4 linked regions of the Tamandua tetradactyla genome follow. The protein of the gene in region 4 purifies or fractionates together with the protein of the main gene of each other region. This does not show direct contact. Links are inferred from orthologs where the notes say so. Each region holds a gene or a part of one and is shown on either strand. Other genes may lie near its edges. The genes, in order: YLPM1, PFDN2, DNAAF10 and PPP1CA.

What was found.
Region 1: the proteins of PPP1CA (region 4) and YLPM1 purify together in Homo sapiens (affinity purification with mass spectrometry; 3 studies listed by BioGRID and IntAct, counting the BioPlex papers as one, with this or other methods). This does not show direct contact. The link is inferred for Tamandua tetradactyla from reciprocal best matches to the Homo sapiens genes PPP1CA and YLPM1.
Region 2: the proteins of PPP1CA (region 4) and PFDN2 purify together in Homo sapiens (affinity purification with mass spectrometry; 3 studies listed by BioGRID and IntAct, with this or other methods). This does not show direct contact. The link is inferred for Tamandua tetradactyla from reciprocal best matches to the Homo sapiens genes PPP1CA and PFDN2.
Region 3: the proteins of PPP1CA (region 4) and DNAAF10 purify together in Homo sapiens (affinity purification with mass spectrometry; 6 studies listed by BioGRID and IntAct, counting the BioPlex papers as one, with this or other methods). This does not show direct contact. The link is inferred for Tamandua tetradactyla from reciprocal best matches to the Homo sapiens genes PPP1CA and DNAAF10.

What each region holds. Positions count from the first base shown.
Region 1 is NC_135338.1:33,830,426-33,837,713, forward strand, and holds the start of YLPM1 (YLP motif-containing protein 1), read left to right. Parts: upstream 1-4,287; 5' UTR 4,288-4,479; coding exon 4,480-5,343; intron 5,344-7,288. UniProt on the Homo sapiens protein: Plays a role in the reduction of telomerase activity during differentiation of embryonic stem cells by binding to the core promoter of TERT and controlling its down-regulation.
Region 2 is NC_135330.1:14,265,216-14,272,195, reverse strand, and holds the start of PFDN2 (prefoldin subunit 2), read left to right. Parts: upstream 1-3,980; 5' UTR 3,981-4,013; coding exon 4,014-4,088; intron 4,089-6,980. Other genes in the region: NIT1 (deaminated glutathione amidase), read right to left, coding at 1,198-1,464, 1,725-1,850, 1,995-2,128, 2,347-2,450, 2,557-2,811, 3,174-3,269, 3,831-3,883. UniProt on the Homo sapiens protein: Binds specifically to cytosolic chaperonin (c-CPN) and transfers target proteins to it. Binds to nascent polypeptide chain and promotes folding in an environment in which there are many competing pathways for nonnative proteins.
Region 3 is NC_135343.1:41,450,572-41,457,927, reverse strand, and holds the start of DNAAF10 (dynein axonemal assembly factor 10), read left to right. Parts: upstream 1-4,353; 5' UTR 4,354-4,688; coding exon 4,689-4,871; intron 4,872-7,356. Other genes in the region: RNA-binding protein PNO1, read right to left, coding at 3,594-3,743, 3,979-4,173. UniProt on the Homo sapiens protein: Key assembly factor specifically required for the stability of axonemal dynein heavy chains in cytoplasm.
Region 4 is NC_135335.1:6,994,227-7,002,061, reverse strand, and holds the start of PPP1CA (serine/threonine-protein phosphatase PP1-alpha catalytic subunit), read right to left. Parts: upstream 3,014-7,835; 5' UTR 2,936-3,013; coding exon 2,881-2,935; intron 2,384-2,880; coding exon 2,252-2,383; intron 2,094-2,251; coding exon 1,863-2,093; intron 1,322-1,862; exon of another isoform or gene 1,223-1,321; coding exon 1,118-1,222; exon of another isoform or gene 696-1,117; coding exon 472-695; exon of another isoform or gene 388-471; coding exon 253-387; exon of another isoform or gene 176-252; coding exon 65-175; 3' UTR 1-64. Other genes in the region: TBC1D10C (carabin), read left to right, coding at 4,286-4,437, 5,179-5,278, 5,464-5,571, 5,655-5,761, 5,959-6,073, 6,640-6,705, 6,858-7,047. UniProt on the Homo sapiens protein: Protein phosphatase that associates with over 200 regulatory proteins to form highly specific holoenzymes which dephosphorylate hundreds of biological targets.

The sequences.
Region 1 (7,288 bases), on a different chromosome or scaffold from region 4:
TAAGTATGGATCCTTTGCAGGTTAAACATGTTACAAAATATTTCCTTCTACTCTGTGACTTCCCTTTTTCACTTCCTTAATGAAAGGTATATAAAAATTGTATATAGGTACATATATTGATTTGTATATTGATTTTATATCCAGCAATCTTATTCTTAAAATGTATCTGTAATTATTCTGAATTTTCTATGTACATAGTATCATACATGAATAATAATAGTTTTGTTTCTTCTTTTCCAATATTTATATCTTTTTTTTTCCTTGCCTTATTGCGCAAACAGGGCCTGTGGTACAATGCTGAATAGATGTGAAGACAGTGGGAATTTGGCTCTTGATGTCAGTGAAGCTTTCAACTTTCACCATTAAGTGTGGTGTTTACAATAGATGCTTAATAGATACTCTTCATTAGATTAAGGAAGTTCCTTTTCATTTCTAGTGTGCTAAGATTTTTAAAAAATATTGATATTGATGTGTATCGAATTATTTTCCTCCATCTAGTAAAATGATCACATTATCTTCCCCTTTAATCTATTACTATAGTGAATTACATTTATTTTTATATTTTTCAAAAGAGAATTCCAATGAAAAATATTAACAACACAATTAACTGAGGTTTCTGGGTTGAGTAACTTTCTGTTCCTTGACCTGGGTGCTGGGTACACAGCATGATTGGTATGCGGAAATTCACTAAACTTTACACTTAATATCATTTTTAGTATATATGTTATACTTCAATAAAAAGTTAAAAAAGGAACAGAACTAAATGCCTATTTGAGAATGAAACTCATGCTTCTGAAGTATACCTGTATGCACCACTCTGCACTCATATCCACTTCCTAAGAGGTGAGGATCTGGGTTACTAAAATGGAAGGAAGGTCAAGGTCTTTTTATGGAGTGCACAACAGACACACTTTATAGTCTCAGAGTTAGAATCCAGTGTGGATTAACTTTGTTTCTTAGTGATTCACTCAAACCACAGAAGGAGCTTATGTTTAGTACTATACTGAGAAATTTTTGCAAGAATTATCTTCTAGGTCATCTATTCTAGACAATCTTTGTATCTGGTTTTTGCTATCTTTACTTTCGCTTTGAGGTTCTCCAACATGGGTTTTTAAAAAAAATGTTTTGAGATATTCTAAAGAATTCCATTTCCCCTCTTATTCCTGTAGCTGTCACTTTTTATATGCCTGCAGGAATTGGTGCGGAGTATTACATCGTCTTCAAAATAGGTCTCCATTCTTTCACAGATTTGTTTTCAGTTTGATTTTCTGGGTTAGAATTGTGTTGTCTATTCATTTTTTATTGTGAAATATAACATATATATTATATATATATATAATGATTCAGCAGTCATACTCATTTGTTAAATACTATCTTCTCTGTTATAACTCGACCTTCTTTAATTTTTCTCCCAGTCTTTAGGGGTATTTAAGCTATGCCCATTCTAGCTTTTTCATGTTGGAAAAAGCTGTTGATAATATGGGATGGAGGATGGAACTATTTGATATTTTGGAGAGGCTAGCCCTTCTGGGTTTCAGGATTTATCAGGTCTAGGAACCCATCTGGAGGTTCGAAAGTAATCATAGTGCATGGAACCTTTGTAGAGTCTCAGATAAAGCCCTACATGTTCTTTAGGGTTGACAGCAATGGTTTTGGTTGGAATTTGCAAAACCATAATACCTAGTAATATCTAGAGTAGCCTCCAGAGTAGCCTCTTGACTGTTTGAACTCTCAGTCACCCATACCTTATTTGTTACAATTCTTTCCCCCCTTTTGGTCAGAAAGGCATTGTCGATCCCATGGTACCACGGCCGGGCTCATCCCTAGGAATCATATCCCACGTTGCCACAGAGATTTTCACCCCTCTATGTCATGACCTATGTAGTGGGGAGGGTAATGATCTAACTTGCAGAGTTGGGCTTAGAGAGAAAGAGAGGCCACATCTGAGCAACAAAACAGGTTCTTTGGAAGTAACTCTTGGGCATAACTATAGATAGGCTTAGCTTCTCCTATAAATACATAAGTAAGCTTCACAAGAGCAAGCCTCAAGATCAAGGACTTGGCATATCGTCTTGGGAGTCCCCAATGTTCGAGACAGTATCAAGGATTTCCCCGGTGATAAAGTTTAATAGTTCCATATTTTTTCTTCCATGCTTCAAGGGACTTTGCCAATACTTTTTTACTTATCTGCTCAACATACTCTGGGATGTGTCCGGGCAATACATTAAGCTATTTAGAATTACATGCTCTCATTCCCATTCTGGGCTCCATGTGTTTGGGTTGTTAAAATGCTCTATCCAGACGAGTTAGAGTATGTGCTACAGAAAATTTAGATTTTGGACAAAATAAACCTCTCTTCCTTTGGTCTCAGAGTAGGTGAAGTTTTAAAATACAGACAATGTCATCCTTATCCCTTATTCTGATTTAACTTAGTCCCAATGTGATCAGCTTCGTTCTTATCTCTAACTGAAGCCTGATCTTTTTCAGTTTCTTTAACAGTTGTATGTGGCAATGCTGACTTTCAGACCTGCAGACCTCCTACTCTGGGTCTTACATGTCACACAGGTACTCAAAGTTGGTTATACATATATAGCACAGTCTTTCAAAATCTAGAAATAACAATTGCAGCTCTGGATTAAATGTGACTGCTATCAGAGTTTACAATCTAGTCTCAATTTTCTTATAAGTATTTTCTAAATGAGATCATACAATAGTTGCAGTTTTGTTTCTGGCTTATTTTGCATTACATAATGCCCCACAGGTTCAATCACATCATTGCATACTTCACGACTTCATTCCTTTCTGTAGCAGCTCAATATTTGAACATATGTATACACCACAGTTTACCATTCTACCACTCAGTGTATCCTTTAGCCACCTTAATCCACTGGGCATCATGTATAAGATCCAAAGTCATCAACCCATGTCTCACATTATCCTCATTTAGTGGTATAATCAACACTCTCAATTTTAGACAATTTTCATTGCTCCCCAGAGAATAATAATCAATAAACACACCATCACCAAACAGAAAATCCAAACCCCATAACTCTTGTCCTCCCCATCCCCCGCCCCCAATTATTTACCCCTGGTATTGCTGTGGTACTGTTGCTGTCTTCTTGTTAAACATAGCCGTAGAATGCAATAGTTTTCCCTCTTTACCCCATATTATAAACACTGTATAAGATTCATACCTTGTTCATATGAAACTTAACCCCACAAAGGATAGGCTAAGCCTACTTAAAATTAGGCCTATGAGTCACCCCCAAGAGAACCTCTTCAGTTGCTCAGATATGGCTTCTCTCTCTCTCTCTCAGTCAACACAACAAGCAAATTCATTGCCCTCCCTCTCTCTACGTGGAACATGACTCCCAGGGGTGTGGACCTCCTGGCACCGTGGGACAGAAATCCTAGAATGAGCTGGGACTCAGCATCAAGGGATTGAGAAAACCTTCTCCACCAAAAGGGGGAAGAGTGAAATGAGACAAAATAAAGTGTCAATAGCTGAGAGATTCCAAACAGAGTCGAGAGGTTATCCTGGAGGTTATTCTTACACATTAAATAGGTATCACCTTTTTAGTTAAGGTGTAATGGAGAGGCTGGAGGGAACTGCCTGAAAATGTAGAGCTGTGTTCCAGTAGCCATGTTTCTTGAACATGATTGTATAGTGATATAGCTTTCGCAATGTGACTGTGTGATTGTGGGGAAAAAAAGAGATTCATACCTTTTAAGTAATTCATGCAAGAACTTATTTCTGTAGTGTTAATCCGTGGGATACCTGGCTCTAATACAGTCCCTTTCAATAATGATGTTCACCTTTAACATGGCAATATCACTTTGTCTATTAATTTTTAATTTGAGAAGAATTGACATCTTTACTATTTTCCCTCTTTTCATTCACAACCATGGTAAGCCTGTCCATTATTTCAAGCCTAATTTTATCCCTCTTTGATATGAATGTTCGGTAGTTTTCTTCATATAGAAATAATTCGAATTAATTAGAATTATTTCTAGTTGTTTTTATGGTTTTTCTGTTGTTGTTGCGATTGTTGCTATTGTGAATGGAGCCTCTTTTTTTTTTTCATTCAAAAATGAATCCGTGGAGCGATAGGATCTCTACCAACGCGTTTCAGCTGTGAGACTCTATGGTTCCTCTGTTCTATGAGAACATTCTACTCGAGCCTGCATTACCAGAACCCTAAGGAAGGTGGCAACCGAAAGTCGTCAAGCAAAAGGCCGCTCTAGCTCGCCTTTGTTCTCCTCTTGGCGGCTACTGCGCAGGCGTAGCAGCCTCAGGCCCGTCCCCGCCTTCCCGGTCGCGGGCCCTGCTCCGTAGCGCCGGCGCACTGGCGCGCTCCGTTTACACGCTCTAGGGCCTATACGTGCCGCGAGTTCCGGCTGTCGCCGCCGCCGCAGCTCCTGGAGGTCGGTTGCGACGAGTAACGGCGCCAGGACGAGCCCTGCGCCTTCTTCTCCGATATGTACCCGAATTGGGGCCGGTATGGCGGGAGCAGCCACTATCCGCCGCCGCCGGTCCCGCCTCCGCCTCCGGTGGCGCTTCCTGAGGCCTCGCCGGGCCCCGGGTTTTCGAGCTCGACGACTCCCGCGGCCCCCACGTCCTCCGGCTTCATGAGCTTCCGCGAGCAGCACCTGGCGCAGCTCCAGCAGTTGCAGCAGATGCATCAGAAGCAAATGCAGTGCGTGCTCCAGCCCCACCACCTTCCCCCGCCCCCCCTGCCGCCCCCACCGGTGATGCCGGGGGGCGGCTACGGGGACTGGCAGCCACCGCCGATGCCCCCGCCGCCCGCGCCGGCCCTCAGCTATCAGAAGCAGCAGCAGTACAAACACCAGATGCTCCACCACCAACGAGACGGGCCTCCTGGTTTGGTTCCCATGGAGCTGGATTCTCCTCCTGAATCTCCGCCTGTGCCGCCGGGGTCCTACATGCCCCCATCTCAATCTTACATGCCCCCACCTCAGCCGCCACCCTCGTACTATCCCCCGTCCTCGTCCCAGCCCTATCTGCCTGCCGCTCAGCCGTCCCCTTCTCAGTCCCCACCGTCCCAGTCATACTTGGCGCCCACCCCATCTTACTCTTCCTCCTCCTCCTCGCAATCCTATTTGAGCCATTCCCAGTCCTACTTGCCCCCGTCTCAGGCATCGCCTTCCCGCCCCACGCAGGGTCATTCTAAATCCCAACTGCTAGCTCCACCACCACCGTCTGCCCCTTCTGGGAATAAGACCACTGCCCAGCAAGAGTCTTTGGAGAGTGGGGCCAAGAACAAGAGTTCTGAACAGCAGCAAGCTACCCCGGAGCCAGATCCCTCTACGATGACTCCACAGGTAAGAAAGCTTCTGTTTGAACCGCTTCTTTCTCCTAGAGGGCCGTAAGTGATCAGGCCTCAGGACTTTAACCAGTGCTTAGCCTAATTCCAATACACAATGACAAGCTAATTTACACTCTAAAAGATCCTCCTAGAGCCTTCCACCCCGCTTTTAAATTAGGTAAATGTGGATTACAGAAAGAACCTTGTTTAAAGATGTTACTAGACACCACAGAATAGTGGAATGGCTCAAGTTCTCAGATATATTTTGAGTCTCCTTCCTAAATTTGTTGCAGAGGGCCTTGTTTTAAAATTGTATTTTAAGCTAAAAGTTCCTTTTGAGAGGCCACATAAAGAAGCTTCTCAAAGGGCTGACACTTGAAATGCATGTAAACCTTATGACCCAGTTAACTTTAAAAAAAATTTTTCTTTTTAGGATACACTGATAGCTCTCAGCTTCCAAAAAAGGAGGCCTCAGCAAATGAAAGATGAATGTCTTATTAGAGGCATCCTAATTATGCTTATAGATACATGTGAAAGTTTTATAGTTTATTCCCCAAATGTGCTTGCCCTATCAATACATAGATGTCTCTCTAGACACTTGATCCTTTTTGGGGGGGCTCTTGGTCCATTTAAGGAACTGACCCATACATCCTTTCCTCACATCACTTGAAGATAGTTTTAAGACATGACCACTTTGCTGCATTTCATGGTTGCTCCCATTAACTCCAAAGTAGCAGCCTTGGAATTAGACCAAGATAAAAAAAAAAAAAAAAAAGTTGATGTCTCTTCATTAGAATCTTAGTAGTAAGAGATCCATTTCTCTCTCTGTTTGAAGTGATGCTTCCCACAGAATGATCAAAATTGACAGGGTAGAGATAATAAATGAATTCCTCCATTGAGAAGGTAGAACTAAAGGGGAAAAACGATGTGTTATTATTTCTTTAAAAAGACACTTTTAGCAATTACTAACCTAAATACACTATTTTTTATTAGTGAATAGTCTTTTCAATAAGCCCAGATTCGCATATAAAATATTTACAAAAGATAAGGATGTAGTATTCTAATTTTACAGTGCTTTGGTATTAGAAATTAAGAACAGAGGCAAGTTGTTTTAAGGAATGATGCTTGGCACACCATCAGGAGAAAACACTTGTGGTGCCGGAATAAAGCAGTAAGTATCTGATTCTGTTGGTTTATGCCGAATTAGTACCATGCCTCCAGGTTGTTTCCTCCAGATTTCTCTGTTATATAGACAAAATTTCTGGCTCCTTCCCCCCACCCCCCCGCGGAATTTCCAGTGTTTTTGTTGTCAGATACCTTAGTCCAATCCAAAATATGAGATTTTATATCCTCTTCTCTACTGGACTGTTTCTAACCCTTTAGAGTGACAAATTAATTAGATTTCTGGGATTGTTTGTTTTGACTTTTTATGGAGGAGAGGGGACAACAGTATCAGTATGATCCTTAATCTGACTACAAATGCTGCTTTTGCTTTTCTGCCTTTGAATCCTTGTCCATAGTAAATTTCTTTTTACTTGAGTACCCAGTGCCTCCAATTCTTTGGTGAGAGCTGGAAAGACATTGGTGGAAGATGAGGCTTGAGAGGTCTGCATGCGCTAGGTCAAGAAGGGCCTTGTAAGCTTGTTTAGGCTCTCCTTCCTCCATCTAGGATTCATCCCAGCTTTATCTACCCTCCCTCTCCCTCCTTGTAGTAGATCTCCTCAAGGCACACCTCAAATATCAAGGTCTCCGTGAAGCCACAAGTGTACTTACTGATTTGGTTTTGTTCTGTTGTTCGGATTCTAAGTCCCTTACACACAGGGACTGTCTGGCTCATCTTTTTATCCCCTGTAGCACCTAGGACAGTGCCACAGAGATTTATTGACATAGGTACAAGTGTTGTCATGTTCTAAACTTAGAATATTTTTATATGTTGTGATAAATATTTTTTATGCCAATGC
Region 2 (6,980 bases), on a different chromosome or scaffold from region 4:
CCTCCCTGCACCCGTGTGCTTGGGCTTCCCCTTTGTTTCCCTTTTCCAAATACCCCTAATTTGTGTCTCTACAGCTACCTTACCACTGAGCCGTAAGACAAATGTGTAGGGAAAAGAAAAGTCTATAGAACAGAGTCTTCATAAGAGATTGACGTGAACACTGCTTTTGGGTGCAATGAGGGGTTATCAATACTTCTGGCTTTATGAGGGCTCTTAAATTTTGTCTGCAAAACCAAAGGGCTGTGAGTAAGGGAGCTATGTGGAAGGTGGGTCTCAAGTGTATTTGGAAATTAATCACCATCCTCTCCCAAATTACAGAATTTTTATAAAACAAAGAAGCTGTGGCCCTTTCCAGTCTCTCCTGGCATCTGGTGCTGCTCCTCTCTGCCTCCTTTCCTCCATTCATGGCTTGAAAACTTTGCCTGGTGTGGCTCATTTTTTCCCCGTTTAGAAAATCCTCTTTAAGAGAGTAATAGGTAAGAGAGAACTGGGTCAGCCTAGTCACTCTTCCAACTGTAGTGTGTGTGTGTGTTCACACATACATACACAGGATAGGTGGAGAAGACGTTGCTGAGTCGAAAAGGTACACTCCCCCTAAAAAGGGGAAGGGGGAGTGTGACATTTTCCTCCCATGTTCAAGTAAAAATAAATAATGTACCCTGCAGCCCTTTTCCCCTTTGCTTTCTTCTGGCTTGGGCAAAGGGCATCACCAAGTGAAGTAATTCAGTATCAACTCTTTTCTTTTTTCTTCCCCATTCTCTAACCCCTTGGGAGAATGGGGCTGGGACATGCACTGAGTGTTGCACTTTTATTTACATAGGGAGGCATGCTGAATGAGCCAGGAAACCTAGAACTGGAGCCTAGACCAGCAGATGCAATACCACCTCCCTTTGCAATTTCCAAAGGAGATATCCAAACACAGACTTTATGATTATTATATTTTTCTCAATGCCAGTGCTGCTCAGCCCTCAGAGTTACTCCAGTTTTCATGAAATAAACAGTGGCTATATAAAATTCCACCTTTCTGAAACTGAAATCTGAGCTCAGGTGAAAGTTTCTTCTTTCCCAAGAAGCTGAGCCTGTGTCCCATCAAGAGTCAAGGTTCTCCGAGTGAGGGGAGCTGCACCTGGGTCCTGCTCAAAAGTCATGGCACTACCAGCTCATAATGGGAGTCTCAACTCACAAAAGTCAAAAGGCTTAAGATGATGGGTGACCCAGATTGCCATAGAGGTCAGGCCTGCGGTGCTGGAAGACAGGCAGGTGTTGGCGTAACTGTCGCAGATAGTTGAGGTCAATTCGGGCAAGACAGAGACCTGGCCCCTCAGAGCAGCGTGCCACCACTGTTCCCCAGGGATCCACCACCATGCTGTGGCCATAACTTGATCTTGTCTCATGGTGGCGCCCACATTGTGCTGCTGCCACTACATAGCACTGGGTTTCAATGGCACGGGCTCGCAGCAGCACCTGGAGGATGAGGAGATGTGTGTTTACTTAACTACATGCAGTTGCTAATGAAGAAGTGACAGGAGATGGATGTTACAGACCAAGTGTATGATGTACCCACTGTTACCATTCTGATTATTGCCAAGGAATGGTTTACTATGTTTACTATTTTGTAACACATGAGAGCCAGGCAACAATCTAGGAAATGACTTCCTACCAAGTAGGAAGGGGAAGAGAAGGTTAAGGAAAGGCCCTTAAGTTTCAAAGAGGTGTCCTCTTACCTCCCAGTGGGCTGGGCCTGTAACAGATCCAAAAGCTGAAGGGTAGGTAAGTATTTCTGCTCCAGCCTGAGCCAATGCCAGGGAGAGTTCAGGGAACCGCAGGTCATAGCAGATAGCTAGACCAATCTGTAATAGAAAGTAACCTGCTTAAGCCCCCTTGCCTTGCCCCTTTCCTTAGAGCTTTATATCCTCTACTACCACCCACTTCAAAATATTTCTATTCCCCTCCCTCTTGTGCCTCTCCCACCCTCATCCTTTCACAACTCCCACCTTGCCTGCTGGTGTACTGATAGGTGACTCAAGGCTGGGTCCAGGTGTGGTAGAGTTACTCTCATGCATGGGCCCCTGCCCTGGAATCTCTACATCACACAGATGTGTCTTTCTGTAAGTGGCTACCACTGACCCTAGAGTAAGAGGGAGAAGGATACTCAGTGCTGATGTGCTAGGAGCCCAGTTTAGCTCCTCCCCTCCCAAGAGGAGATGACTTATAGACTAGAAACAGAAGTACAAACACCTCTAAAACCCTAGGCCAAGGAAGCACTGTTGAGACACACAATTCTAGGGACTTGAGTTTAGGAAGACGAGCCTGGGAAAGGTAGGCTAAACAGTTGTAAAGTCTCACCCTTGTTGTTCAGAAGCACATGACAATTGTAGATTTTCTGAGTCTGCTCCCAGTCTTGGCCACGCTCATGAAAACCACCCAAGGACAGCCAGAGTCCACATTCCCTGGAGAGAGGGGGACATTGAAAACTCTCTCAAGGCTCTATCCTCTTAACCTAAACCAGGAACACTGCCCAATGATTTTACCTCTCCCTCCCCCTTTCCCTGATACCTGGCAAGCTGGGTATATTCTCCCACAAGGTTCCCACCCAGTGGCTCAGACAGGCGTAGTGTCTCTGCAGGGTCCCGTGCAATGAAGTCAAATGCCTCAGGCAGGAAAGCCAGGCAAGCACCCAGTCTGGCAGCCTCTCGAACCAGCTCAGCACACATTTTAAAGTTCTGTTGCTTGTCTGGTGTTGATGTTACCTGACACACAGCCACCAGAGGCAGTTCCCAGGAGGAAGAGGAGATGGCCATGGCTCTGGGCCTGTGAATGACACAGGCAGGATTATCAAATTTCTCAGTATGAGGAAACCCTAGTTTAAGGATAAGGGACTCAAATGGGGAGTCAGGAAAGCTAATTTCCTTTTTTTTTAATGTATGGGCAGGCACCAGGAATCGAACCCGAGTCTCCAGCATGGCAAGCAAGAACTGTGCCTGCTGAGCCACCGTGGCCCACCCTAATTTCCTTTTGAATCTGCTCTTAGAGGATACACTGACTTAGGCCTAGTGGGGCTTGCCAAGCAAATGTTCTGTGGATGGCTGGCACACCACTGTCTCCCACCAACCATTCATATAACAAGCATTTTTCAATATGTTAGACAATCAGAACACAACAAAACTTGTTACCTGGGCTGGGTACAAAGTACTGAGAGTCGAGGTATCCGGAGTCCAGGACACAGAAGAAGGGACAGGAGCTGGTTAGGCCTGATGATGAAGCCCAACCTGAGAAAGGTGAGAAATCAGGACACCAACCCCACCCTCAAGCAATAACTTCCTAGAGTTTTCTAACTTCTCTTCATACTGCGAGGTGGATCAGGGTCCTGCCAGTAAAAATAAGTCTCCAAAACACACTTTAAGTAATTATGGGCTACAGGAAGAGATCATAAGGTGGGAAGATAGAGGACGGAAAGCTGTTCAGTGCCTGAATATCTCGACTTCCAGTCTTCCAGTGATCTAACATTAAATTGAACCCTTTTCCCGTGCTAAACGTCTCCACAGTTCAAAAGTCACCTCCGGGAAACTTTCTTGGTTTTCCCAGGCCTCTCTTCTTGATTCTGCATCTGCACAGCTTTATTGGCTTAAAGTATATTTGCCCCCCTTACACCGGGACAATCTAGGGGAAAATTCACCCTCCCCTGTCCTCGGCCACCCCACGGGGGCAGAGGGCACAAGAACCCGTATCCCAATCCGCGCTCCCAGCCTCCAGACAGCCACTCCTTTCCCGCCTCTGCCAGGGGACAGCGTCTCTGTTACACAAGTTAAAGCACCGCAGGTGGAATTCACCGCGGCCGGCAGGATGGGGAGTAGGTCCTACATGAAGATACGGCCAAAACCATTCGCAAGAGCCGAACCGAAGAGCCGCCAAGAGCTAGAGAAGCCAGGGACGAGTGGGCGGTAACATCGAGACCGGATGTGGCGTCAGACGGAGGCTGAACTGCGCAGGCCGGAAACCGGCAGGCGGCGAAGATGGCGGACAACAGCGGTCGTTCCGGCAAGAGCTGCGGGACCGGCGCCGGGAAGGGGGCGGTGTCCGCTGAGCAGGTGAGAATCCGGGAATGCCAAGAAGAGTATCTCCCGCAGAGCCCGGAGTCAGTGCGCGAAAGGGAGGGGTCTGTTGCTTGTACAGGCCTTTGCTCCAATCCTCATGGCCACTCAAAGAGGGGAGGGTCCTTGGAGAAGCTAGGTGAGCTCCGGAGGAGAGAGTGGGCGGGTGGCTTGGTGAAAGCTCGACATTGTCTGGGATGGTAGGTAAAACCGGAGTAAGGGAAAGCCCTGGTTTGTAGGGCCTGGGAGGATGTACAGATCTGAGGGAAGATAGGTCGTCAAGGAATTGCCCCACCTCTCCTTTGCACCCCCAAACAGGGTATGGTCGGGCAAGGCAGTCATAACGAATCGCAGGAGCTTAGTTAACGGGCTGCTTTCGTAGTCTGTTTTGTGACCCTGGAACCACGTTGACAGTCGCCGTCACTCTGCAGAGCCACGTGACACATATTCGAACAGTTTAGTGTTCAATACTATTTTGATTCTGGAGTCTTTACTAGATTGAATTTCCTGATAGACCAGAAACCCTTTCTGATAGGAATTTGCATTTCTCCCAGTACCTAACATTGGGAAATGTTTGATAAATTAGCCAGAGAGCCTTCTGTAACTAGGAACTGTAGTTTGATAATAGTGGAACTAGTGTTTAATCAGTATGAGAAGAAACATTCACAGTAGAAATGAAAACAAACAACAACGTGCACACTATAGAATGAATTAATCAAAGGCATAAGGTTGCAATTTAAACTTGGCTATTTTAAGTACAAGTTCATTCATTAGTTATTTGTTGACGGTGTACAACAGGCAAAGATGTCTGTATAAAGATTTTTATAACTGCTCCTGCCATCCAAGAACTCATAGCCTGGCAAGGAAAATAAAACATGCAAAAGTTATATGAGACAGAAGACCAATGTCTGAAGAGAGGTGTAAAGTGCTGTGGGATTTGGGGGAGGGGAAAAGAGAAAGGGAAGAAGGAATGAAATACTTTTTTTTTAATGAGAGAAATTATGGGTTTACAGAAAAGTTGGCATGAAATAAAGAATTCCCATACACCACCCCACCGTGGACACCTTGCACTGGTGTGGAACATATATTACAATGGATAATAGCAGGTTTTAATAATTATACTATTAAAGTCCATAGTTTAACTCAGGGTTCACTGTGTAGTGTAATTCCATGGATTTTTGTTTTAAATTTTTACTGGTAACATATGTGCAATCTAACGTTTCCCCTTTTAATCACATTAGGATATGTATTTCATTGCTGTTAATTGCATTCACAATGTTCTGCTACCATCACCACCATCCATTACCAAAACATTTCCATCATTTCAAGTAGGAACCCTGTACATTTTAAGCCTTAACTTCCTATTCCCTATCCCCACCCATCCCTGGTAACCTATATTCTAGATTCTGACTCTATGACTTTGCTTATTCTAATTGTTTCAAAACAGTGAGATCATACAATATTTGTCTTTTTGTATCTGGCTTATTTCACTCAACATGATGTCTTCAAGGTTCATCCATGTTGTCACATGTATCAGGACTTCATTCCTTTTTACTGCTGGATAATGTTCCATTATATATAATATACCGCATTTTATTTATTCATTCATCAATTGATGGACACTTGGATTGCTTCCATATTTTGGCAATTGTGAATAATGCCACCTTGAATATCGGTGTGCAAAAAACCTAATATATTTTGAGGGACTCTGATGTGCCAGGAATTTTGCTGGGTGCAGGGAAACATAAACAAAATAGTCCTTGTTTTCTCAAATGAGAAAAGACAAACTGAACAGTACAAATTTACAGTGTGCCACACAGTCCGTCTTTTGGGACATCTAGGGGAGGAACCCATGACTAAGCAGGAGGTTGTGGAATTTGGGAGGTAGGTGGGAAAGGGAACTTTGGTATGGTGGGTATAGCTAAGAGCATAAAAACAAGTGCACTGGGTCAGACAGACCTGAGTTTGAATCCCATTTCTACTCTTTACTATAGATATGACCACCAATGAGTTACTTCTTAGTCTTCCCCATCTGTAAAAACATAATAATAGTACCTACCTTATCCCTGTATTTTGCAAACTATGTAAGACGATGCACATAAAGTATCCTTGAACAGTGATTAGAACATAATATGTGCTCAATAAATGCTACTTGATTATCTTTGTTTTTTAGCTGTCTCTCAAGATGTCTTTGTTGGATAGTAATGTAATAGGGAATGTAAAAGGACAGACAAGTTTGGGGGAAAAGATGAGTTTATTTCTCAGTGGAGACTGAGGAGTTGTGATGTTGAGTTCTGAAGCTGCTCCTTGTTAACATTCTCTGTCTTTGTTCCAGTGAGAATACTGGGTAAAAAATAGATTTATTTCTACAGCAAGTTTGAGCCACATGTCCCTTACAAACAAAATGAAAGCAAGTAATACATTGTGCTAGGCACTTCACTTGTTTTATCTTCTGTTATTTAATGTTGCCATTTGAAGTAGGTTATATTATCCTCCTGACATTTGCATTTCAGAGGATTTAGGAGAGTTGGGGTAAAAAGTCAATTGACATGAATTACCACTGGTCACTTTTGCTAAATCACAAGGTATAAATTAGAAACACATGTGCTCCTTAATACTAAAGAAGTAAGTTGGGCGGAGGTCTTAGAAGACTTGGAATGCATGGCAAAAAACTTGGGAATATATGGTAAGCAGTGAAGGACCCAGAGAAGGATATATGTTATACTGTTGATCTTTTTGCCCTATTACATAATATAAAACATGTCCATAGTAGAAAATATAAGAATAAATATAAAGAAAGGAAAAGGAAATAAGTTGCTCATAATCCTACTGTCTGAATATAACTATTCTTACCATTTGGGGGTATGTCTTTTGAGAGTTTTCCCCTCT
Region 3 (7,356 bases), on a different chromosome or scaffold from region 4:
GCATGAGCTGGGAAAATTAATCCGGCACTGGTATAGAGTATGGATTTGAGGAAAAAGAGACCAAGCAACAAAGCAAAGGAAATAAGGACACAAGAAGTGTTGGCAAGAAACAATAAAAACCTGAGAGCAGCTATGGGAACAAATAGTCATTATGTCAAGTTTCACAACATTTTAAACTTTACCAACTATTTAGAGTGGTGTCTCTCTGTTTTGTTCCCTCATCATAGTCTATCAAGAGAGATGAGTCTTCTGCTGATTTGAAAGGAAGTATGCCCCCTAGAAAAGCCATGTTCTAATCAAAATATCATTTCGTAAAGGTAGAATAATCTCTATTCAACATGGTATGTTTGAAACTGTAATCAGATCATCTCACTGGATGATGTGATTTAGTCAAGAATGGTTGTTAAACTAGATTAGGGGATGACATGTCTCCACCCATTTGGGTGGGTCTTGATTGGTTTACTGGAGTCCTATAAAAGAGGAAATATTTTGGAGAATGAGAGATTCAGAAAGAGCAGAGAATGCTGCAGCACCATGAAGCAGAGAGTCCACCAGCCAACGACCTTTGGAGATGAAGAAGGAAAATGCCTCCCGGGTAGCTTCATGAAACAGGAAGCCAGGAGAGAAAGCTAGCAGATGATGCCATGTTCACCATGTGCCCTTCCAGCTGAGAGAGAAGCCCTGAACTTCATTGGCCTTCTTGAACCAAGGTATCTTTCCCTGGATGCCTTTGACTGGACATTCTATAGACTTGTTTTAATTGGACATTTTCTCGGCCTTAGAACTGTAAACTAGCAACTTATTAAATTTCCCTTTTTAAAAGCCATCCTGTCTCTGGCATATGGCATTCCGGCAGCTAGCAAACTAGAACAAGTCTATACTAATCATAATGAAGGCATAAGAATCCTCAAAAAAGAAGATATAATTAATTTTGGTCATCAATTCTGATACAAAATAGGTACCCAGAAAAAGAGGCCCAGAGTCAATTAATTTTAAATGCCTAACTCTTGGACTGACACCATAGAATGAACATATGTTTATTTATATTTATTCTCAAGAGAATACATTTTATTTCCAAGAAAACAGCATTTATATAGTGCCTAAACTGATGCATCCAGTACCTAAATGACTGCTTATACCAATGTATGTTATTCACATATTTTTGCTCAGGACTACCCTCTCCTCACAGCCCTTTCTCAACTCAATTCAATACTATAAAACATATGCACAATCAGGGAGAACAAATGAATATCATTGCCAAGGGTTGAAAATGGATGATATATAAGAAAAGGTACAATCAATTCAAGCTACGATCTATAGTTAACGGTAACACTGTAATAAGCTTTCACTGAATGTAAGAAAGGCATTACGCCAAAACTAAATGTCAACAGTGAGGGGCATAGGGGTGGAGTACGGATTCTGTGGCAACAAAAAGGAAATGTCTTCATATAGATTATGGTGGCAAAGGCATGTCTATCTACTTAGACTGGATTGTATGATGTGCAAATAAAATTGTTTAAAAATGAACAGAGAAAAACAAGTGCTAGAGAAAATGTGGACAAAGAAATGTACCTCTTCACCGCTGGTAGGGAAGCTGAGAAGTGCAGCTTTTTTGGAGGGCAGTGTGATGGTTTCATAGGAGGCTAGGGGTGGGGTTGCTATATGATCTTAGAGAAACTGAGTGTGGGGACATGGATGGACATTTGCACACTGGTGTTTATGGAGGCAGTGTTCGGCATTTGTGATGCATGGAGATGGCCTAAGGATACAACAAATGAGGAATGGAAGGATGGACTGTGGTGTTTATATACAACAGACAACTGAGGACTACTGAGCGCTGCAAGAAGAAATGAAGTTGTGAGGCATGCAACTAGGTGAATGAATCTTAAGGACAGTATGTCAAATAAAATGTCAGAAACAAAAAGGCAAATATTATCATGCCTCACTCTTACGGATGAACAAATACAGAGAACTGAAGTTGAGAGCACAGATTATCAGGTTGGGGCCTATTGCAAAGGTTCCTAGATTGTAAACTCTTAAAGCAGTCACATGTATTTCGGAGCTGTAACTGATATTTTTAAATTTTCAGATACTGAGCTATTTGTATATAACCTGGTCATACCCTGAAACTCTGGGTATTTATGTGATACCTGAGAGAGAGAGCACTGAAGTTATGAAAGTCATTACCCCATTCGGCAACTGTGAAAAAAGAGATCAGACTTTGTCTAGAGATACGAATGAAGCTGATCTGGATAGGACTAAGGTAAACAGAATACTGGGTAAAGGATGATATGGCCCATATTTTCAAATTTCAACCTCTGTGTGAGACCAAAGGGAGAGATTTTTATTTGGTACAAAATTTGTGTTTTGGGTAGCATATCAACTAATTAAAATTTTATGGTCAGTTTACTTGAACACCATAATTACATGGAATCTTGAATAGGGTGTTGGAAGATCTTGCTGGTTTGCACAGGTTAGTGTGATACCTGGATATATCCCAGAGTAAATTGGGCAGAGAATAAAAAAGTATTTGCAGAACAGGCCACTGTGGCTCAGCAGGCACAGTCCTCACCTATAGACAAGCTGGAGACCTGGGTTCAATTCCTGGTGCCTGCCCATGCAAAAAAAAAAAAAAGTATTGGGGAGAAAGCAGGAAATACTTAACATCCCCCTCTGGGGAATTTCTGCAGTGGAGACAAATAATTCAATAAGCTGAGCTCTCAATCTTAGGGCTTGCCCCTATGAAGCTTATTTCTGCAAAGGAGAAGCTAAGCCTACTGAGAATTATACCTAAGTCAATTCGGCAGGTGAACTCAATGTCCTCCCCGCTATGTGGGACATAATTCCCAGGGATGTAAATCTCCCTGGCAACACGGGACCTGACTTCCAGGGATGAGCAAGGATCCAGCATCAATAGAATGAGAAAGGCTTCTTGACCAAAAGGGGGAAGAGTGAAACGAGACAAAATAAAATCTCAGAGGCTAAGAGATTTCAAGCAGAGTTGAGAGGTTATCCTGGAGGTTATTCTTATGCATTATACAGATACCCCTTCTAGTTCATGGTGTATTCAAGTGGTTAGAGAGAAGTATCTGAAATTGTTGAACAGTGTTTCAGTAGCCTTGATTCTTGGAGAAGACTGTATAACTACATAACTTTTACCATGTGACTGTGTAATTGTAAAAGCCTTGCGTGTGACGCTCCTTTTATCCAGGGTATGGACAGATGAGTAAAAAAATAAGGATAAAAATAAACAACTACGGGTAGTTAAAGGGTAAAAACTGGGTACACTGAAATACTGTGGGTCAAAGAGAGGGAGAGGTAAGGGGTACAGGATGTAGGAGCTATCTTATGTTTTTATTTCTTTTTTTGGAGTGATGCAAATGTTCTAAAAATGACCATGGTAATGAATACACAACTATATATCATATATTGCATAATACGGTTGGCCTATATGTGTATGGATATTTCTCAATAAAAATATTAAAACTAGAGGAAAACCACTTAAAGTAAGTTCTATTAAGAAAAGTCTATTCATCCTTGATTCCTGTAGGAGAAACCCTAGTCTATTTGTAAATAATTGACATTCTCCTTACCCTGATTTCTACATTCCTCGATTTCAAATTAAAGCGTATCTGAAGTCCCAAATGCTCTACAACAGGCGTAAATATCTTCATCCAGTTTTCTTTTAACGGCGTATATCTGTTAGCTGGTACTGGAATTTTCCTAGTTTCTTCTTTTCCACCCTACAATGAAAGAACACACAACTCAGGAGTCGTCTGGAGGGTGAGAATGGAGTTGTAAAATGACAGATGATTCACAAAAATCTTTTAACCGAACGAGTTAAACTTCGGCAGTCATTTCTCTACGAGGAGCTCTCACACCAGAAGAGCCCCCGCAGCTTCAACATCACCCACAGGCCACCGGCTTCACCGGCCACTGGCCGCAGCCTCGCTCCAGTCCCACAGCCCCCTCCAGTACCAGGAGCCCGTCCCCAGAGAGGGGCGGGAAGACGGGCCTCTTCGCGGGCCGGGACTCCTCTGTGTCCATGCGTCCCGGGTCCCCGCCGTCCTCCGCCACAGAAAGCTGCTCAGCCTGTCGTTTCTTCACCCGCCGGCCACTCTTGCGGGTGACCTGGGTGAAGCCATTCTCCACCCCAGCGCTCTGTGCCTCCATCTTGGTTTCCACCCTCAGATATGTGCAGGGCAGGCAGGCTGTTCCAGTTGAAACACGTGCGCCGCCCCACTGCGCAGGCGTACCTCCGAGGATCCAGCCACTGCCGACCAGGCCTAAGGCTCCACCCCCTGCCTTAAGAAGGCCCACGTAGAGGACCTGAAGCGGTATTTTTTTTTGAAGGACCTATCCTAAAATATGCCTAATTCTTAATGCCCACACTACTGCTGCATAACCTACAGCCAAAATACCTTGTAGTATCTAATATGTATATGTGCGAACGTCAGTAAGTAACGACGATAAACAAGTTAATGCCGTTGGTGAAAGAGAATCTTGTGTGATCTCGGTAGCACATCTGGCATTTTGTTGGATAACTAAATCCAACTTCCTAGGACGTTAGGGAGCGAGGTACGGCAAGCGGGGGGGGACAAACTAGTTAAGTTTGGCGTCTGCCAGCCAGGTTAGTTTTTTCTTAAGAGTCGGGGGTGGCCGTTGCTGTAAGTGAAATCTGCTCGGCCATGTCGGCCTTTGAGAAGCCTCAGATCATCTCTCACATCCAGAAAAGCCTCAACTACACGGTGTTTGACTGTAAATGGGTGCCCTGCAGCGCCAAATTTGTGACGCTGGGCAACTTCCCACGGGGTACCGGCGTCATTCAGCTGTACGAGATCCAGCACGGAGACCTGAAGCTGCTTCGGGAGGTGGGTGCCGGGTGGAGACTGCCCAGGTCTGCCCTTGGGGGGCGAGTGCCGATCCTGAGGTCTGCATCCCTCTTTGCTTAAAGCCTTCGTCCAGCGTCCCCCCAAAATACAGCTCGAGCTGCGCGGGACTTGCGAAGCTAACCGCAGACTGAGGAATGCTTCAGTGTTAAAATTCTTTCGTTCGAGTCCTGAATTCTCATCCGCGGGCCATTTCATCCGCGCCCTGCAGGCCCCTTCTTCCAGCACCCTCGGCGCAGTCCAGCGCGAGGCCTCTGGGAAGCGAAGTTAGGAATTCTTGTATAAGTTCGAGGCCTTAAGGGGCATTTGGCAGTTGTTCTGGAGAGTCCGTTGCGAAGCCCTTGTTAGTATATTGCTTTTTCATACAAGCATAGCCACAGCGGCCCCTTCCCCCAGGAAGCCTACAGTAGTTGAAGCATTCAACCTAACACATCTATTCATTCTTTCAACAAGTATTAATTGATTATCTGGTATCCGCCGGCAAGTGATTAGCAAGGTCCTCGATCTCATGGAGTTTCTTTTCTAGTGAGGGTGATAATCGGTTAAATAATCAAAGATGCATAAAATGCAACGGTTTTATGAAAGTAAAAACAGATTTGGGACAAGTAGAAGTTGTTAATAGGCCAAACTGGGAGTGGAAAAGGAGGTTTTCAGAAGAAACAGAAGCCCAGTGGTGGGAGAGAGTTTTAAGAAGCAAAAGAAGGTCGCAGGGACCAGACCTTGCAATATTTATAGGCCATTTAAAGGATTTATGCCTTTACTCTTAAGAGAAATGGGACATCAAGCAGAATGTGGCAAAATCAGATTCATATGTTTTGTAATGAATACTAGTGAAAGAATTAGAGAATAATGGTGGATAACAAATTTTTATCACTCTTTGCAAATTAAAAAATGACGATTTGGATTGCCTGAAAAAAGTGATCAGGTATAATCAGGTGGTTAGGGTTCTATACAAAGGCAGTAAAGATTGAGAACTCCATGGATACTTGGAAGAGATGGGGGTTCAACCTATATTAAAGTATGAACACAATTTAGATAGGCAAGGTTAGATTAGAAGATATATAAGGCTCCATCCACGTTAAATTTCTGTAATTGCCTGTGTTATTGTTCAGTTTGTCTTCTCAAGCCAGGCAGTCTATTTAGAATGCCTAGGCATGGCCTGTACTTTTCCACCTTTGCTTATGTTGTTTACCATTTGGTCTTCAGTCACCTGTTGCTATTGTAACATTCAATTCCGATTACATGACTTAAAAGGAAACTTTTCCTGAGCGTCACACGAATGAACTTTCCTTTTTGTTGTTTTCCTAAAGTACGTTTTATGTGTGCCAGGAATATATGTTCTGTCCTTTTTATCTCTAGATTGTAAGCTCCTAAGGAGTAAGGTCAGTGTCTTCTTAAGTGTGGTTTGTAAGAGGTAGCCACTCAATAAATATTTGTTAAAAGAATGAGTGAATGTATGTCTGTAAATAGGATATAACTTGGGAAATTTCCAATATTGGTTTATTAAATATTGTTCGGGGTTGAACAAATGGGAAGCATTGGAATAGCAGAGAAAAACATAAAGCTGAAGTTTTAGGAACAGATGCCAGTTGAAGCTGAACCACAGAGAATCTGCAGACTTCTGCTTTTCAATAAGAAAATTTGTACACATTTCAGAAATACACTTACTCATAGATTGAAATACCGCTCTTTCTTTTTTGTAGAGATTGTAGAGAATTCTAGCAAATTTGTTTTGTTTGTTTTTTAGCAAGCTTGCTTTATAACAAGAGTAAAATATGTTCGTGATAGGATATTTAGAAAATATAGATAGGATTAAGCAGAAATTTAATGTTACCCACAATCTCAACCACAAAAATAGCCACTTTTAAATTTCACCTGTATCCTTAGAGGTCTTTTTTTCTACCATAAACTATCCATAGAGAATCTGCTAATCCAAGACACAGTTAGTTCTAAGGAACGACCAAAGGTATTTGAAAGATGACCCCCTTCCTCTAAGGAGCCTAGAGGCTCAAAAGATGGTAAAACATAACAAAAACACAGCTAAGAACTTACGTTGAATTTGGCATGTTAGTCCAATGGAAAAGAATATGGGTGAAATACAGTCTCGGTGATTCTCGACCCTCACTGCACATCAGGCCCACCTGAACGTGTTTTGTTGCTGTGGTTTTTGTATTTTAAAGTTTTCATGCCTTGGTCCCCGCCCCTCCTAGAAATTCTGCCTCAGTGAATCTAGACTAGATGGAGGCCTGGACGTCAGTCTTTTTTAAGCTCCTCCCAAGGGATTTTAATGAGTACCAGAGGTGAAAACCATTGGGATCAATGAATATTTTATAAATATAGTATGAAACATACTTGATTTGATTATTGAGGAACTTCCTCCAATCATTTGCTCAAAGGCCCATGAATAAGAGATAAAAACGTGAAGAAAGCCATCAGTCTTTTATTGACATCTTCCTTTTCTTGTTGG
Region 4 (7,835 bases):
CATGGCAGCGTGATTTCTATACAATCAATCCATCATCTGGGGCAGAGGGGCAGGCCCGGGGCGGCTACTTCTTGGCTTTGGCGGAATTACGTGGTGGAGTGATGGGCCGGCCCCCTGGGTTCAGGCCACTGAACTGCCCGTATTTCCCCTTGTTCTTGTCAGCGGGCTTGAGGATCTAGAAAACAGACATAGCTGGTAAGGCTCACTGGGCTGAGGCCCAGGACCCTTGGTCCCTTCTTCCCCTGCACCCACCTGGAAGGAGCACATGAGGGTCTCATCCACGCTCATCATGGCACCTGCGTTGTCAAACTCGCCACAGTAGTTGGGAGCTGAGAAAAGTGTCACCAGCTGCCGCTTGGCAAAGAACTCGTAGCCATCTTCTACCACCTGGCAAGGATGGGCGTGGTCAGCCCAGCCTGTGCGGCCCTACCCAGCCCCCACTCCCTGCCCCACCCAGAGAGGCCAGCCCACCTGGTGCGCCCGGCAGATGAGGTCCAAGTCATGCTTATGCAGGAACTTAGCCACCACCTCAGCCCCAAAAGTAAAGGAGACCCCACGGTCGTTCTCGCCCCAGCCCTGCACATCCTTGTCAGGGTCCGACCACAGCAGATCGCACAGCAGACCCTGGTCAGGCACATCTGTGGGCCGCATGATCCGCCGAATCTGTTCCATGGACTGCAGGTCCGGGGACAGGCCTGCGGGGTACAGGGAGGACAGTCAACTCCTCAAACAAGCCTCAAAACCAGACCCCCTCTCCGAGGGAGCCTTTGCCAACCAGCCTCACTCTTCCTACCACCACCATCTGGCCCCTCTCCTGGACCCGTGGGGGCTCAGGCAGCCAGAGCTGGCCCTCCTTCCCTCTGCATGTCTGAGGCCCTGAGCACAGAGGCAAACCAGCCAGAGAAGCCCCTGCCCTCAAGGAACACAGCGCTTGGAAGAAAGATGAACTCCTTGAGAGCAGAATGCTGAGCACCACAAGAAACTGCCTAATGGCGGGGGTGTGGCAGTACAGCTTCCTCAAGAGAAGGCATCTAACCCCCAAGACAGCTAACGGAACTTTATTCCAGGGCCCCGGGGATGTGGCTGGGGCTTTTAGCTTCCAAGGAGGCCCTCTCACCTCCATGGCAGCAGAAGATCTTCTCGTCCACTATGGCCGCGATAGGCAGGCAGTTGAAGCAGTCGGTGAAGGTTTTCCATAGTTTAATGTTGTAGCGTCTCTTGCCTGCCCAGAGGAGGGAGATGCCGGCCTGTGAGGAGGCTGCCCGCCCCACCCGCAGCCTGGTTCTCTGAGGCGCTTTGCAGGCTGGTCAGACACAGCTGAGGGAAGAGAGTGGAAGGCGGGGAGGGCTCGCCCTCCCACCCCACCCGCACTGTGGACCACCTTCCAAGATGGAATTCAAAGCATCTCAGTCCACAGGAACCCAACAGGATCCGTAGAGTTGGCACACACACGCACCCCCCCACACACACACCTGCCCCAACCCATGAGCAGGCCAAGGTGGGGTCTGGCCTATCTCCATTTCTCTTCTGGCCAGCAGATCCCAGCCCAGCTCGACACCCTAAGTGCTTAAGCAGCGGATGTCCTGGGGGTGGGGGAGTCACCAGGCAGGGCCTTGAGGAAAAGCATTAAGAATATGGGCAGCCCTCCAGTCAGCATCCATTCACCAAACCCTTCCAAGTGCCAGGCCCCATGCCAGGAGGGCGGGGCAGCCAGAAATGAACTGAACCCGGCCCTGCAAGCTCAGTCTAGCAGGTACCTGCCAGACACTGATATGGCTAATGCCAGGCCAACAGGAGGGTCCCACAGAACAGGGATGAGCCCTTCAGGAGTCGAGCAGCCACCACACCCCGGGACCACTCACACTCATCGTAGAAGCCGTAGATGCGGTTGATGCTGGCACACTCGTGGTTCCCACGAAGCAGGAAGAAGTTCTCAGGGTACTTGATCTTATAGGCCAGCAGCAGGCAGATAGTCTCCAATGACTGCTTGCCCCGGTCCACGTAGTCCCCCAGGAAGAGGTAGTTGCTCTCCGGTGGGAAGCCGCCGTACTCAAACAGCCGCAGAAGGTCGTAGTACTGACCATGGATGTCACCTGGGACCCAGGGAATCCGGTCAGCACCAGGTGCAGTGCCTGGACTGGCTTCCTCAAGGGAGGAGGAATCCATGAACTTGGAGTGGGGGTGGTGGAGGGGTGTGGGGTGGGTAATGCCATTTTCAGGAAGCCCAAGGGGGCTGGGGCAGGGAACTCACCGCAGATCTTGAGGGGTGCCTCTAACTCCAGAAGAATGGGCTGGCTCAGGAAAATCTCCCGGGATTTGAGGCACAGACCACGGATCTCATTCTCTGTCAGCTGCACATTCTTTCCAGGCCGCGAGCCTTGCACTGGGAATGCGGAATGGGGCGTCAGGACCCCGGCCTCTGAGGTCCTGGGGAGCCAGAGGGTGGCGATATACAGGCGACCGCCCCAGGGGAACCTCTGTATTCGTCTGGGTCTCTCCCGACACCCCTCCTCGACCAGGACCTGTCTCATGCCCCCCAAAACAAGGCCCTCGAGAAAAGGGTGCGCTGGGGTCCCCCCACTCAAAACCTAATATCGCAGAACCCCTTTCCCGGGCTGGGATTCTCAGGGCTCTCCCTCACTCTAGGAGCCCCAGGCCACCGTGTGCGCTCCCGGGAGAGAGGGCTGCTTCGCGTGCCCGATCGGACCCCAGACCCCTCAGGGAGCCCGCGACAGGGGTGGGGGAGGCGGCTGGACCTCGCGGCCCGTCCCCGCCCAGTCTCCACTGGCCCCGGGAGGGGCAGGCCCGCCCGCGCGCCACTTCCGGGCTGGGCAGCGGGCCAGGGCGCGGCGGGCGCGGCCCTCCCCGGCCTCAGCCAACCTTCCAGCAGGCGCCCGATGATAGAGTCCAAGTTGAGCTTCTCGCTGTCGGACATGGCGGCGCCGCCGCTCCGGCCCTACAGCTCCGAGCCCGCAGCTGCCTCCCGCCCTCCCGCCGCCTCCTTCCGGCCTGGCTCTCCTTCCGCCCGCCCGGACCCGCCCCCGCCCCCGCCCCCCGTCGCCCGGGCCCGCCCCCCAGGCCCGCCTCCGCCCTGTGCCCCGACCCCACGCTCTAGCGCCTCTGCTGGGCAGGAGGCGCACAGGCCGCGGTAGCCCGGGGGCGGGGCCTCTGGGGGCGAGGCGGGGCTTGGCGCGACTAGGGCGGGATCTTGCTGAGGTGCTCGGGGCGGGGTTCGTGTGGGCGGGGCCAGGCCCCGCCCACAAAGAGTCGCCCAGACGCGCTCCGAGGTTAAGGGACCGGAAACGCTGTGGAAGTTGTTTTTCTCTTGCAGAGACTCGTCAGCCTTCATCAACCCTGCTCTAGGCGGAGGGTGGTATGAGCGCGTGAATAACCGCGAGGAACCCCAGCCCAGACCGCCTCCTAAAACACTGCGGGTTAAATCCTCAAAGTTTCCGGAAAAGGAAACTGAGGCTCAGAGTTAGCAAGGGGCTGGCCCAACACGGGGGACTCACGTTCGCGGAGGCCCTCATCCTTCTGAGTCTTTGTGGGGTCCAAGGACACCTGTTCCTGAACTCCAAGCCATAGTCAGGTCCTCCCGGCCTCTGTGCATGCAAAAATCTTTATGGGTCCCACAGTTACCACGTGAGAAGCACAATATGCTGTATGTGTGCCTGTTAAAAGGCTTCCCCCCTGAATATCAAACATTAAGTAAACCAGAATTCTTATTGGAGCCCTGACTTGGGTGTCTTACATACCAGGAACCTCAAAAGTGGAGGCAGCCTGGCCTCTGCCTCTGGCAGACCCTGGCCAATCACACCCCACCCAGGAACCCACCCAGCCCACGGGGAGGGAGGGAGGAGCCCACGGCCGGCCCAGGGGCTGACAGGAAGAGCCTCAGAGAGGAAGGGGTGACACCTCCCCCCCACACCTTGGGAGGGGCCCGGAGCCGGTTTGCTGTAGCTGTGGCTGAGGAGGAAGTGAGAGGAGGAGGGTCAGGTATGGCCGGGTGGGGAGCCCGGGCTGCCGGGGAGAGGGGCTGGGCCTGGGGCTCCATACAGAGGTCAGGCTTTTCTGCCACGTCAGGGCCTTCCCTCCCTCAAAAGAAGAGGGGATGTCCGGGGCTTGGCGGGATGCTCTGAAACCTGCCGGCTCCAACCCCACATTTTGGCTCTGGGGCTAGGAACTGATGGGAGCCCAGGCCCCAGGCTGGCCAGCGGCCACCCCTTAGACTGGCTCTCCCCCATGTCTTACAGCCTGAACCTGTGGCATCACAGTCGGGGGCACCATGGCCCAGGCCCTGGGGCAGGACCTGGTGCAGCCTTCCGAGCTGCAGGATGACTCCAGCTCTTTGGGGTCCGACTCTGAGCTAAGTGGACCCGGCCCGTATCGCCAGGCTGACCGCTATGGCTTCATTGGGGGCAGCTCAGCGGACCTTGGGTAAGTGGGATGGAGTGGGGTGGGGAAGCCGGGACTGAGGATGGGGTCTGGATTCCAAAGTGAGGTGTTCAAAGGTCTGGGAGGGTGTGGCAGTAGGGACTGAGCTAGACACTGAGCCAGATCACCTCTCTTCTCTCCTTCAGGTGAAACTTTAAGGTGGAAAAGGCTGGGGGGGGGGTGTGTGTTGGGGGAGGAGGGATTTGTTCCAAATGTCTCTTGTACTCCCAAACCTCCAAGGGTTTGCACCCTCTCCTGCGGCTGAACAGCCTTCCCTTTTTAGTCTCTAGCCCAGGAATCCCAGATCCAAACCATAGAACCCACAACACCTAGCCCCTCCCCAAAAGTGCAGACAGGAAAACAGAGCCAGAGACAGGTAGGAACTTGTCCAAGCAGATCAGAGACGGAACCAGAGTCAAACTCTGAATCCCTGGCTGCCAGTCCAGGATGCTGGACCAGCCAGCTTTCCCTATGAGTTATCTGTGTCCCTGTCCTGGGCAGGGTGGTTGAGGGGGAATAGCCAGCCAACCCCTCCCCCCATGCACACCCCTCAGTCTCTCTTGCTTCCGCCCATATCAGAGGCCACATCCTTTCCCATCCCCATGACAACATTGCCAGCTCTTGGTTACAGGTCATCGGCAGGAGCAGGAGCTGGGCTCAGGTGGGAGCATGGGGGGCGGTTCGCAGGAGTGGGTCCTAGGAAACAGCTGCCCGACACCTGGCTACCTATGCATGTGTCCCCAGCCCAGGTCAGGCCCCTGCAGACCTTATCCGCCAGCGGGAGATGAAGTGGGTGGAGATGACGTCACACTGGGAGAAAACCATGTCTCGCCGGTACAAGAAGGTGAGGGGGAGGGTGGCCCATTCCCCTCGGCCTGGAGCCAGCCCCTGACAAGGGCCACCCATCCCTCCAGCCCCCGCAGATGCTGCTTTTGCTCCCTGCCTGGGGGCACGGCCTGCTGGGGGCCGGCCAAGGGCAGCAGGTAAGGCTGGTGAGGTTGGCTAAGGTTGCCCCGGCCTCACCTGCAGGTAAAGATGCAGTGCCGGAAAGGTATCCCCTCAGCCCTGCGGGCGCGCTGCTGGCCCCTGCTGTGTGGGGCCCACGTGTGTAAACAGAACAGCCCCGGTACCTATCAGGTGAGCGAGTGGGCAGGGTTCCTGCCTCCCCTTCCCAGAGCCCTTTGCCATTTCTAGCCGTGACCCCCGCCTCCCCCTGACAGGAGCTGGCCTCGGCCCCCGGAGACCCACAGTGGATGGAGACCATTGGCAGGGACCTGCACCGCCAGTTCCCTCTGCACGAGATGTTTGTGTCACCTCAAGGTCATGGGTACGAGGCTGGTGATGGCCAGGGACCCCCAGGCCCCCAGCCCCAGGTCCTCTGGCCCAGCCCTCCTCCCCCTCGCCCAGCTTCACATCCTTTTATCTCAGGGGAGCCAGGAAGGCTGAGGCCTAGCACAGAGGTCACTAGAGGGTGGGCAAGGGACACCCTGGGGGACTGGCCCCTAACGGGGTCTTCTGGCACAGGCAGCAGGGGCTCCAGCAGGTTCTCAAGGCCTACACCCTGTATCGGCCAGAACAGGGCTACTGCCAGGCCCAGGGACCCGTGGCCGCCGTGCTACTCATGCACCTGCCCCCAGAGGTGAGTGACCCTTGACCTTGTTCCAGGGACCCGAGACCCTGACCCCGGAGCCCCAGTGGCCCAGGTGTCCCCCACCATGATTCTGAGCTCTGCACCCATAGCCCCCAACCCTAGGGACTCTGACCCCCAGTCCCTGTCTCAGTGACCCGGGGTCTCATGATTGCCACCTTCAGTGGCATTCAACCCCAATGACCTTGATCCCAGAAACGTGGGGGGCCCTTGACTTTATCCCCTTAAGCTCACAACTCCCGATTCTGAACCCTGCCACCATGACCTCTGACCCGAATGACTCCAGGAACCCCAGGCCTTGAACTTTGGGATGCTCCCAACCATTGACCAGTGAGCTTCAATCCTGTGACCCCCCCCTCCCCAATTCACCATCCCGAGCCATATAACTCTCGGCTCCGTAAACCCACCACCAGGCCCCCGACTGGGCCCAGGGCAGAGGCTCTGAGAGGGACCCCAGAGTCACCCCAGCTGCTTCCCAGGCTCCTGGGTCCTGCCCTGCCTGCCCCTCTGTGGGGGGCACTCACGGGCCTGTGCCTTGCCCACCCCCCACCCCCCAGGAGGCCTTTTGGTGCCTGGTACAGATCTGTGAGGTCTACCTCCCTGGCTACTATGGACCCCACATGGTGAGAGGCTGGGATGGGGGCCCCTGTGAGCGGGGATGGGGTGGGCGCTGGCGGGGGGAGCCGCCTGAGGAGGGCTGAAGCCTGGGGTTTGGGAGAGGGGTGGGGAGCGGGTGGGGCGCCGGGTGGGGAGAGGCTGATGGCTGTGGGCGCAGGAGGCCGTGCGGCTGGATGCCGAGGTGTTTGCGGCGCTGCTGCGGCGGCTGCTTCCGCGCGTGCATAGGCACCTGCAGCAGGTGGGCGTCGGGCCCCTGCTCTACCTGCCCGAGTGGTTCCTGTGCCTCTTCGCCCGCTCCCTGCCCTTCCCCACCGTGCTGCGTGTCTGGGACGCCTTCCTCAGTGAAGGTGAGTGGGCGCCAGGGCTGGAGCCTTGGGTGGGGGAGGGGGGGAGCGGGGACCCTGCCCCGGGGAGCTCAGCTGGCCGGCCCTGAATGCGCTCTGCTCTGCCCGGGCAGACCCCAGCACCTGAGAGGCCCTCCTGGGGCCCGGCTGTGATGAGGTGAGGGTGATGGCGGCGGCCACAGCACATGCAGTTGGCGCATTTGTTTGCTGCCTCCCCTCTGTGCTGGACAGGGTGCCTGGCCCTGGGGGGAGCAGGCGCAGGGGCCCAGGGCCTGTCCCTAGGAACCCCCTGGTAGGGGATGGGAAAACACAGGGAGTGGTAAGACGAATCCTGGAGGACCAGCACCAAGGGGGGCTTCCACAGAGGCAGATGGGCAGGAGCTGGGGGGCACAGCAGGTGCAGAGGCCCAGGGCCTGGGGCGAGGCCGGCCCACGGGCACCGCAGTGGCACTTCCCCCCAGCCATATGCCCCATGCTCGGGGGTGCCAGGTGCTGCCCTGCAAGCTGGGGCTGACTGCGCGCGTGGCGGGGACTGCAGGGGAAAGATGCTGGAGGATGGGGTGTGGAGAGAGGGGGATGGGGGATGGGATAAGCCAAGAAGGGGAGGGGAGCCGGGCCAAGCTGGGCTGAATTCTCAGGGGCTTCCGCCTGCACAAGGACCTCTTCATGTTCTTCAAGCAATGTGGGGTGGCAGCACCTCAAAAATGGTGGCGAACCATAGGTGAATTTATTGAGTAGCTGTTGGGTGCCCAATCGGCTCCAGGGCTTTCCCTCAGGGAGAGGGCAGCTGG